Cricetulus griseus: one gene and its partner. The protein of the gene in region 1 purifies or fractionates together with the protein of each later gene. This does not show direct contact. Links are inferred from orthologs where the notes say so. Each region holds a gene or a part of one and is shown in the gene's direction. Other genes may lie near its edges. The genes, in order: Trerf1 and Dnttip1.

The links.
Region 2: the proteins of Trerf1 (region 1) and Dnttip1 purify together in Homo sapiens (affinity purification with mass spectrometry; 3 studies listed by BioGRID and IntAct, with this or other methods). This does not show direct contact. The link is inferred for Cricetulus griseus from reciprocal best matches to the Homo sapiens genes TRERF1 and DNTTIP1.

Annotation. Positions count from the first base shown.
Region 1 is NW_023276806.1:256,678,236-256,682,053, forward strand, and holds part of Trerf1 (transcriptional-regulating factor 1), read left to right. Parts: intron 1-1,794; 5' UTR 1,795-2,056; coding exon 2,057-3,487; intron 3,488-3,818.
Region 2 is NC_048599.1:14,659,953-14,663,770, reverse strand, and holds part of Dnttip1 (deoxynucleotidyltransferase terminal-interacting protein 1), read left to right. Parts: intron 1-1,493; coding exon 1,494-1,565; intron 1,566-3,303; coding exon 3,304-3,359; intron 3,360-3,464; coding exon 3,465-3,603; 3' UTR 3,604-3,818. UniProt on the Homo sapiens protein: Increases DNTT terminal deoxynucleotidyltransferase activity (in vitro). Also acts as a transcriptional regulator, binding to the consensus sequence 5'-GNTGCATG-3' following an AT-tract.

The DNA of each region.
Region 1 (3,818 bases):
TAACTCTGGGGTATGTCAAGTTGACAGTTAAAACTAACCATCGCAGTGGGTCTGGGCAAGAGCCTGGTTGTGAACGTCTAACCCTCTCCCTGGTGATGTCATCCCTGTCCCCAGCACCTTTGTGCGTCTGCTGAGAAGCCTTCGGTGACCACCCCTCACTTTCCATAACACCTCAAATTCAGGGTTGATCCTGAAAAATCTTCCCTAAATTAAGTATGTAAAACTCCTCTTTTTCCTTAGGTTTTGAGACAGAATCTCATGTAGCCCAGAGTGGCTGTCTACGCCTCCTGATTTTCCTTCCTCTGAGCCCTGGGATTACAAGCATGTGTCACCACACCCAACATCGTGTTTTGTGGAACTCTTCATCCCCTCACTCATGTTCAAGTTTACATCTACAGTTTTTATCATGTTTGCAGATGTGATTTCCAGAATAGTATAAATATTGATATTTTTAAGTGAAACTATGACATCACTTTTAATTTTATCCCATGGAATCTAAACACCCTAGCCTTCCAATATCCACCCATTACTCATTTAAAAAATATACACACACACACACACACACACACACACTGGGTCCTTCATTTTTCCTTGAAATTTTATTTGTATTTCACTTCCTCCAGGAGTTTTATATGTGATATATTTTTAGGTTTAAAGCTCTTTCATTTGTATCCCCATCTTTTCATTTCCTGAATCATGAAGCTATATTGAAAGCGTCTTCTGATTTACGTTATAGTTATATTTTTAATAGTACACAATTGATCAAGCCATACAAATGTATAAATAATAAACAGTAAAAGTAAAATTATGTTGAAAATGTACCTTGGAACAGTAGTACTGAGTGCCTTTTTAAAAATAGACTTTTCGCTAGACTTTAAAATAGCTCAGTTGGTGGTTTGCCTCGTGTGCATCAGGCCCTTGGTTTAATCACCAACACTGTATAAAGCAGGAGTCCCCACTCCTGTAGTCCCAGCACTTAGGAGGCAGAGTCAAGAGGATCAGAAACTAAAGGCCATCCTCAGCTCCAGGGCAAGCTCTAGGCCAGTTTGGGCTACCTGAAACCATGGAGAGACAGCTCAGTGGTTAAGAGCACTTCCTGCTCTTCAGAAAATTAGTTCAGTTCCCAGTATCCATGCTGGAGGACTGATAACGCCTGTTTTTCCAGCTCCAGCATCTGATACCTTCTGGCTTCCATGAACACCCACGTTCATGTGTGCATAAACACACGCACACATAAATGTCTAAGAAGATTGTTTATTGCTAGTGTGAGAGCAGGGCCAGTATTTTCCATCTATCCAGGTAGAAGCCATTGTTCATACTTGATAGGAGGAACATAGGGTTTTATCTTAAAAAACAAATCAAGGAAACCCTTGGGGCTGCAGAGATGGCTATGGTTAAGAGCACTTGCTGCTCTTGCAGGGGACCCAGGTTCAGTTCTCAGCATCCACATCAGGTAGCTCAGTCTGTGTGTCTGTCTCTGTGGGAGGTGGTTGAGTAGGACATCTGGTGTCCTCTGATCTGCACAATCACTTACCCTCCCTACATGTGAGTGTACACACCACACATACCATAGCACTCCTGTGCAGGTCGGAGCATGGTTTGTAGATGTCAGTTCCCTCCTTCCACCATGTGGGCCCCTGGATTTGGACTCAGGCTTAGCAGCAAGTGCTAACCCTACTGACCATTGTACTAGCCCTCCCCGAACTCTCCTTTTATGAACAATCACAATATATGTAATGGCTTGTTAAGAAACATCCAAGGAATTAATTTTGTCCTTTGTATCCTGTCTTCCAGGTGTGAACGACATTTCCCCACCACAGTGGTGTCTGGTCCATACCTCAACCCGGGGGAGGATGTAGACACCTCAGCTCTGCAGATGAGTGGTTCAAGCCGACTCGAACCCCTGCCTCCAGCCACCCTCACAGACATGTCAGCCGTGGAGTAGGGTGGACACTTTCTCTCATCTTCTCAGGGTTTCAGGATTTTTTATTTTCTTCATTTCCTTTGATTTTATTATATTTTTTGTGGCTGAACATTCATAACCAAGGAGGACATCATGGGGGACCAGCAGCTGTACAAGACCAACCACGTGGCTCACGGTGGTGAGAACCTCTTCTATCAACAGCCACCCCTTGGTGTCCACAGCGGGCTGAACCACAGCTATGGGAATGCAATCTCAGGGGCTGGAATGGACGCCCCGCAGGCCTCGCCCGTCTCGCCTCACTTCCCTCAAGATACTCGGGATAGTCTGGGCTTGCCGATTGGCTCCAAAAACCTTGGCCAAATAGATACCTCCAGGCAAGGAGGATGGGGAAGCCATGCAGGGCCTGGGAACCACGTCCAGCTTCGTAGCAACTTGGCCAGCTCAAACATGATGTGGGGAGCACCGGCCCAGGTAGAGCCCAGTGATGGTTACCAATACACTTATTCCCAGGCCAGTGAGATCCGCACCCAGAAACTCACCAGTGGTGTTTTACACAAGCTGGACTCTTTCACCCAGGTGTTTGCCAACCAAAACCTGCGAATTCAGGTCAACAATATGGCCCAGGTGCTGCACACCCAGTCAGCAGTGATGGATGGAGCCCCTGACAGTGCCCTTCGTCAGCTGCTATCTCAGAAGCCCGTGGAGCCCTCGGCATCAGCTATAGCTTCCCGCTACCAGCAGGTGCCCCAGCAGCCTCACCCTGGTTTCACAGGTGGACTGCCCAAACCAGCCCTTCCAGTCGGGCAGCACGCTCCCCAGGGGCACCTGTATTATGACTACCAGCAGCCCCTGGCTCAGATGTCGATGCAAGGAGGACAGCCACTGCAAGCCCCTCAGGTGCTGTCCAGCCACATGCAGCCAATGCAGCAGCACCAGTATTACCCACAGCCACCGCCTCAGCAGCAGCAAGCCGGGTTGCCGAGGATCTCCATCCAGGAAATGCAACAGCAACCACAGCAGCAGATTCGCCCCTCACAGCCTCAGCAGCAGCAGCAGCAGCTCCAGCTGCAGCAGCGGCAGGGGTCACTGCAGATACCTCAGTATTATCAGCCCCAACCCATGATGCAACACTTGCAAGAGCAGCAGCAGCCCCCGATGCACCTGCAGCCACCCTCCTATCACAGGGACCCTCATCAGTATCCCCCGGAACAGGCACATGCTGTCCAGCTGATCCAGCTGGGCTCCATGCCCCAGTATTACTATCAGGAGCCTCAACAACCCTACAGCCACCCCCTCTACCAGCAGAGCCACCTGTCCCAGCACCAGCAGCGTGAAGACAGTCAGTTGAAGACATATTCCAGTGACAGGCAGACTCCGGCTATGCTGAGCTCCCATGGGGACATGGGGCCTCCTGATGCAGGGGTAGCAGACCCAGCAAGCTCGGAAATGACCCGAGTCAGCAGTACCCTTCCTCACCAACCGCTCCTGTCCCCCAGTGGTATCCACCTCAATAACATGGGACCTCCGCATCCGCAGCCATCTCCCAGTGCGATGTGGCCCCAGGTATCTCAGAGTCGAAGTTCCTCCCCATCTCTGCTTCATGTGCGACAGGCTGTGCCAGGCATGAGTCTCGGCAATACCCAATTCTCCACCCCTCATCCTTTCTGTTCTTTATATATTTCACAAGTGTTAACATACATATGCCAGGCACTTGGGATACAAAACCAATATGGATTTAGTCCTTGGCCCTGGGGATTTGTCATCTCACTAAGGGGATGACCAAAATATTGTAGTATGTCCTAAATGGTTTCAGTAACGATCAAGACCTAGAGTTGGGGTTTAGGGGTGGGCTCAGGTCAATCATAGGGTACAGGGGAGAGCTTAGCAGCCTCTG
Region 2 (3,818 bases), on another chromosome or scaffold:
GCAGCAAAATCAAAAAAAAAAAAAAAAGTTGCTATGGTCATGGTGTCTATTCACAGCACTAGAACCCTAACTAAGACAACCATACCTGGTTGTCCTACTCTCCATTTTACAAATGAGGAAACTTGAGTCTGAGTCTGGAGGAAGTTACCACCCAGACTTCTGTCATCTCCAACATGGTAAGAAGTTTAACCGAAACCTTATTTGTCTTTGTCAAACTCTAGAACCAGGTGGTTTACATGATGCTATTTCTTGACTTTTGTTTTTAGGAAATACAGTCCTGTTAGGTATTAGCACGTACTCATAGTTCCCGTACTCAGAGGAAGAGACAGGGAGATCCAGAGTTAATCCTAGCCTGGGTTACACAGGGATACCATGTCAGAAGCCAAAAAGAAAGAAAATACTGACCCCATAATAATTGGTGTTATAAGGCACTTGTAATCTTTTTTTTTTTTTTTTTTTTTTTTTTTTTTTTTGGTTTTTCAAGACAGGGTTTCTGTGTAGCTTTGGAGCCTATCCTGGCACTCGCTCTGGAGACCAGGCTGGCCTCTAACTCATAGACATCCACCTGCCTCTGCCTCCTGAGTGCTGGGATTAAAGGTGTGCGGCACACTATAGCACTTCTTATAAAAGAAAAACACTTAATTGGGGTGGTTTACATTTCCAGAAGTTTAGTCCATTATCACCATAATGCAGCAAGGTGGCGTGCACACTTGGTGGTGGAGGAGTTGAGATTCCTACATCTTGACCCACAGGAGATAAATAGGAAGTGATCTGCAGTACTGAGTGTGGGTTAAGCGTATGTGAGACCTCAAAGCCCATCTCCAGTGGCACTTCCTCCAACAAGGCCATACCTACCAATAAAGCCACACCTCCCAATAGTGCTACTCCCTCTGTGGGGGCCAATTATAGTTAAACTACCACAGGGACTTAAGGGAAAGTAGACACTTATCCAATCTCTGGCAACTAGTTTATAGCCCCTGGCTTTATTGGCTTGACTCAGCCTGCACTCTGAGAGATCCTAGAGCCCGTGGGTATGCATATCTGTCTAGGACAGGGTCCCTGTAGTGGTTTGAAAGAAAATGGCCCCCAAAGGGAAGGAACTGTTAGGAGGTGTGGCCTTGTTGGAGGGAGTGTGTCACAGTGTGGGCAAGCTTTGAGGTCTCTTGCTCAAACTTTCCTGGGTGTGACTGTCAGTCAACTTTCTACTGCCTGCAAGATGCAGGCCTCTCAGCTCCAGCACCACAGTGCCTGTGCTCCACCATGTCCCCTTCATGGTAATCATGGACTGAACCTTTGAGAGTGCAAGGGAGCCCCCTCCCCCCCCCCATTAAATGTTTTGTTTAGAAGAGCTGCCATGGCTGTAGTGTCTCTTCACAGCAATGAAAGAAAACCCTAATTAAAGACAGTCCATTGGTAAGAACTGGTAAAGGGTCAGGAGAAGAAGAACCCTTGCCATTAAGCTAACGTGTCCCCACTAACTTCATCCCTCACAGTATGCAGCAGATCCTCAGGACAAGCACTGGCTAGCTGAGCAGCATCATATGCGGGCAACTGGTGGTAAGATGGTAAGCACTGTTGTCCCATGTACCACTACCAAAGACCCACCCAGCCCGGGACCATGAGTCCAGCTCCTGGCCACGGCTTGTCTCCAAATTTGGTAGAGTCCCTAAGCACCTAAAATATGGGAAGGGAGATGTGAAGCCTGCTTCTCCATGCTGAAGAGCAGACTGGGGCCTGTTCCTAGGGCTCCCCCTCTCCCTTCTCACCTCCCACCTACTCCTGCAAGATTTCCATCATACCAGATGCCCATAGGAAAGGCAGTTTACAAGACTTTTTGTTTGAGACAGGGTTTCTCTGTGTAGCCCTGGCTATCCTGGAACTCACTCTGTAGACCAGGCTGGCCTCGAACCCAGAGATCTGCCTGCCTCTGCCTCCCAAGTGCTAGGATTAAAGGCAAGTGCCACCACTGCCAGGCTTTGTCTCAAATTTTTAAAATATGTTTTTGTTTATTTATTTGATTGTTTTTTCCAACAGGCCAGGAATAGTGTACCACACCTGTAATCCCAGCATTTGAGAGGTAGAGGCAGAATCAGGAGTTTAAAGCCAGCCTGCATTGTCTGACAAGTTTTAAAGATAGCCTGGGCTACATGAATCATATCATGTAGATATGCATGAAGACAGGGAGCAATTAAATGCTTTTTAATTGGAGGCAGGCTGCCAAGTGTAGTAGCCAGAACACCTGGCTCAGGTCTGGGGTGGCGCAGAAAAGCAATTAAAGGAGATGAGGCAGGTTGCTGGGGATATGGCTCAGGATTAGAATGCTTGCCTGGTGTGTGTGTGTGTGTGTGTGTGTGAGAGAGAGAGAGAGAGAGAGAGAGAGAAGAGAGAGAGAGAGAGAGAGAGAGAGAGAGAGAAGAGAGAGAGAGAGAGAGAGACCAGGTTTAGTCCCCAATACTTTTCTTTTTTTTTTTTTTTTTTTTTGGTTTTTCGGGACAGGGTTTCTCTGTGTAACTTTGGAGGCTGTCCTGGCACTCGCTCTGGAGACCAGGCTGGCCTCGAACCCAGAGATCTGCCTGCCTCTGCCTCCCGAGTGCTGGGATTAAAGGCGTGCGCCACCAACGCCCGGCTCTAAAACTTTTTTATTACATTATTTAGTGTGTGTTGTGTCTGTCTGTGTATGTGGTATGTATAACCCCAGCACTTTCAAGGATAAAGCAGGAGTACTGCAGTGAGTTCAAGGCCAGCCTGGGCTACAAGAATTACAGGCCAGTGCCAACTACAGAAACAAAAACAGCTACTGTATGTGAGCTTAAGGATGGAAGACTGGTACTGTGCAGACCCAGGAGAACTCAGTGCTACAGCCATTGCACAGCAGCACTGCTGACTGAACGAACCCCTTCTACATATACCACTTCCTCCTGTTTCCTCCGTGTTCTGCTAGCTTTCACCATCTTGTTATAACCACATCAAGGGGTGTGTGTGTGTAAGAGCCATAAATAAATTAATCACCAAAGCCATGCCTGAAATCCAGCTACTCAGGAGGCTGAGGAGGCAGTGTCGTTCAGGGACAGTCTGAGCAACTTTTTTTCCTTAGTCACTGGTATCTGCTCCTCCCCCTGTAAAGTTTCTGTTTGAGTAAAGACACTCTCAAGGGGCCATCCCCCATGCTTTCCTCTGTACTCTGGCCAGGTAATCTGTAAACTTCATCCTGAGTCTGTCTAGTAGCAGGCTTTACACAATAAGAGTGTTTCTGAACTGCTGAGAAATGACTCAGAGGCTTTAATCACTCCCCCTTGCCTCCAGGCCTACCTTCTCATTGAGGAAGACATCCGAGACTTGGCTGCCAGTGATGATTACAGGTAAAACCAAAGGGGCTCCTCCCTATACTCCCGTCTGCCTCAGTAGGCACGCACACGGATGAGGCCATCACCCTCCCATTAACATCCCTACAATGTCTCCCCCAGAGGATGCTTGGACCTGAAGTTGGAGGAGCTGAAATCCTTTGTCCTTCCCCCCTGGATGGTTGAAAAGATGCGGAAGTATATGGAGACACTACGGACAGAAAATGAGCATCGTGCTGCTGAAGCGCCACCCCAGACCTGAGCCAGGTGTTCTGGCTACTACACTTGGCAGCCTGCCTCCAAGACCCTCTTTCCCCGACCGGCTGAGGCCATCCTGGGGACTGGGTCTAATTGGATCTTAGCAGCATTAAGCTGTACATGAGCTAGTTTGTAGTGACTCACTGAAGAGCACCCAGACTGGCATGTGGTTCTGTGTTTTTAAAGTTGTTGGACTAAGAAGCAATTAAACAGTTTGTA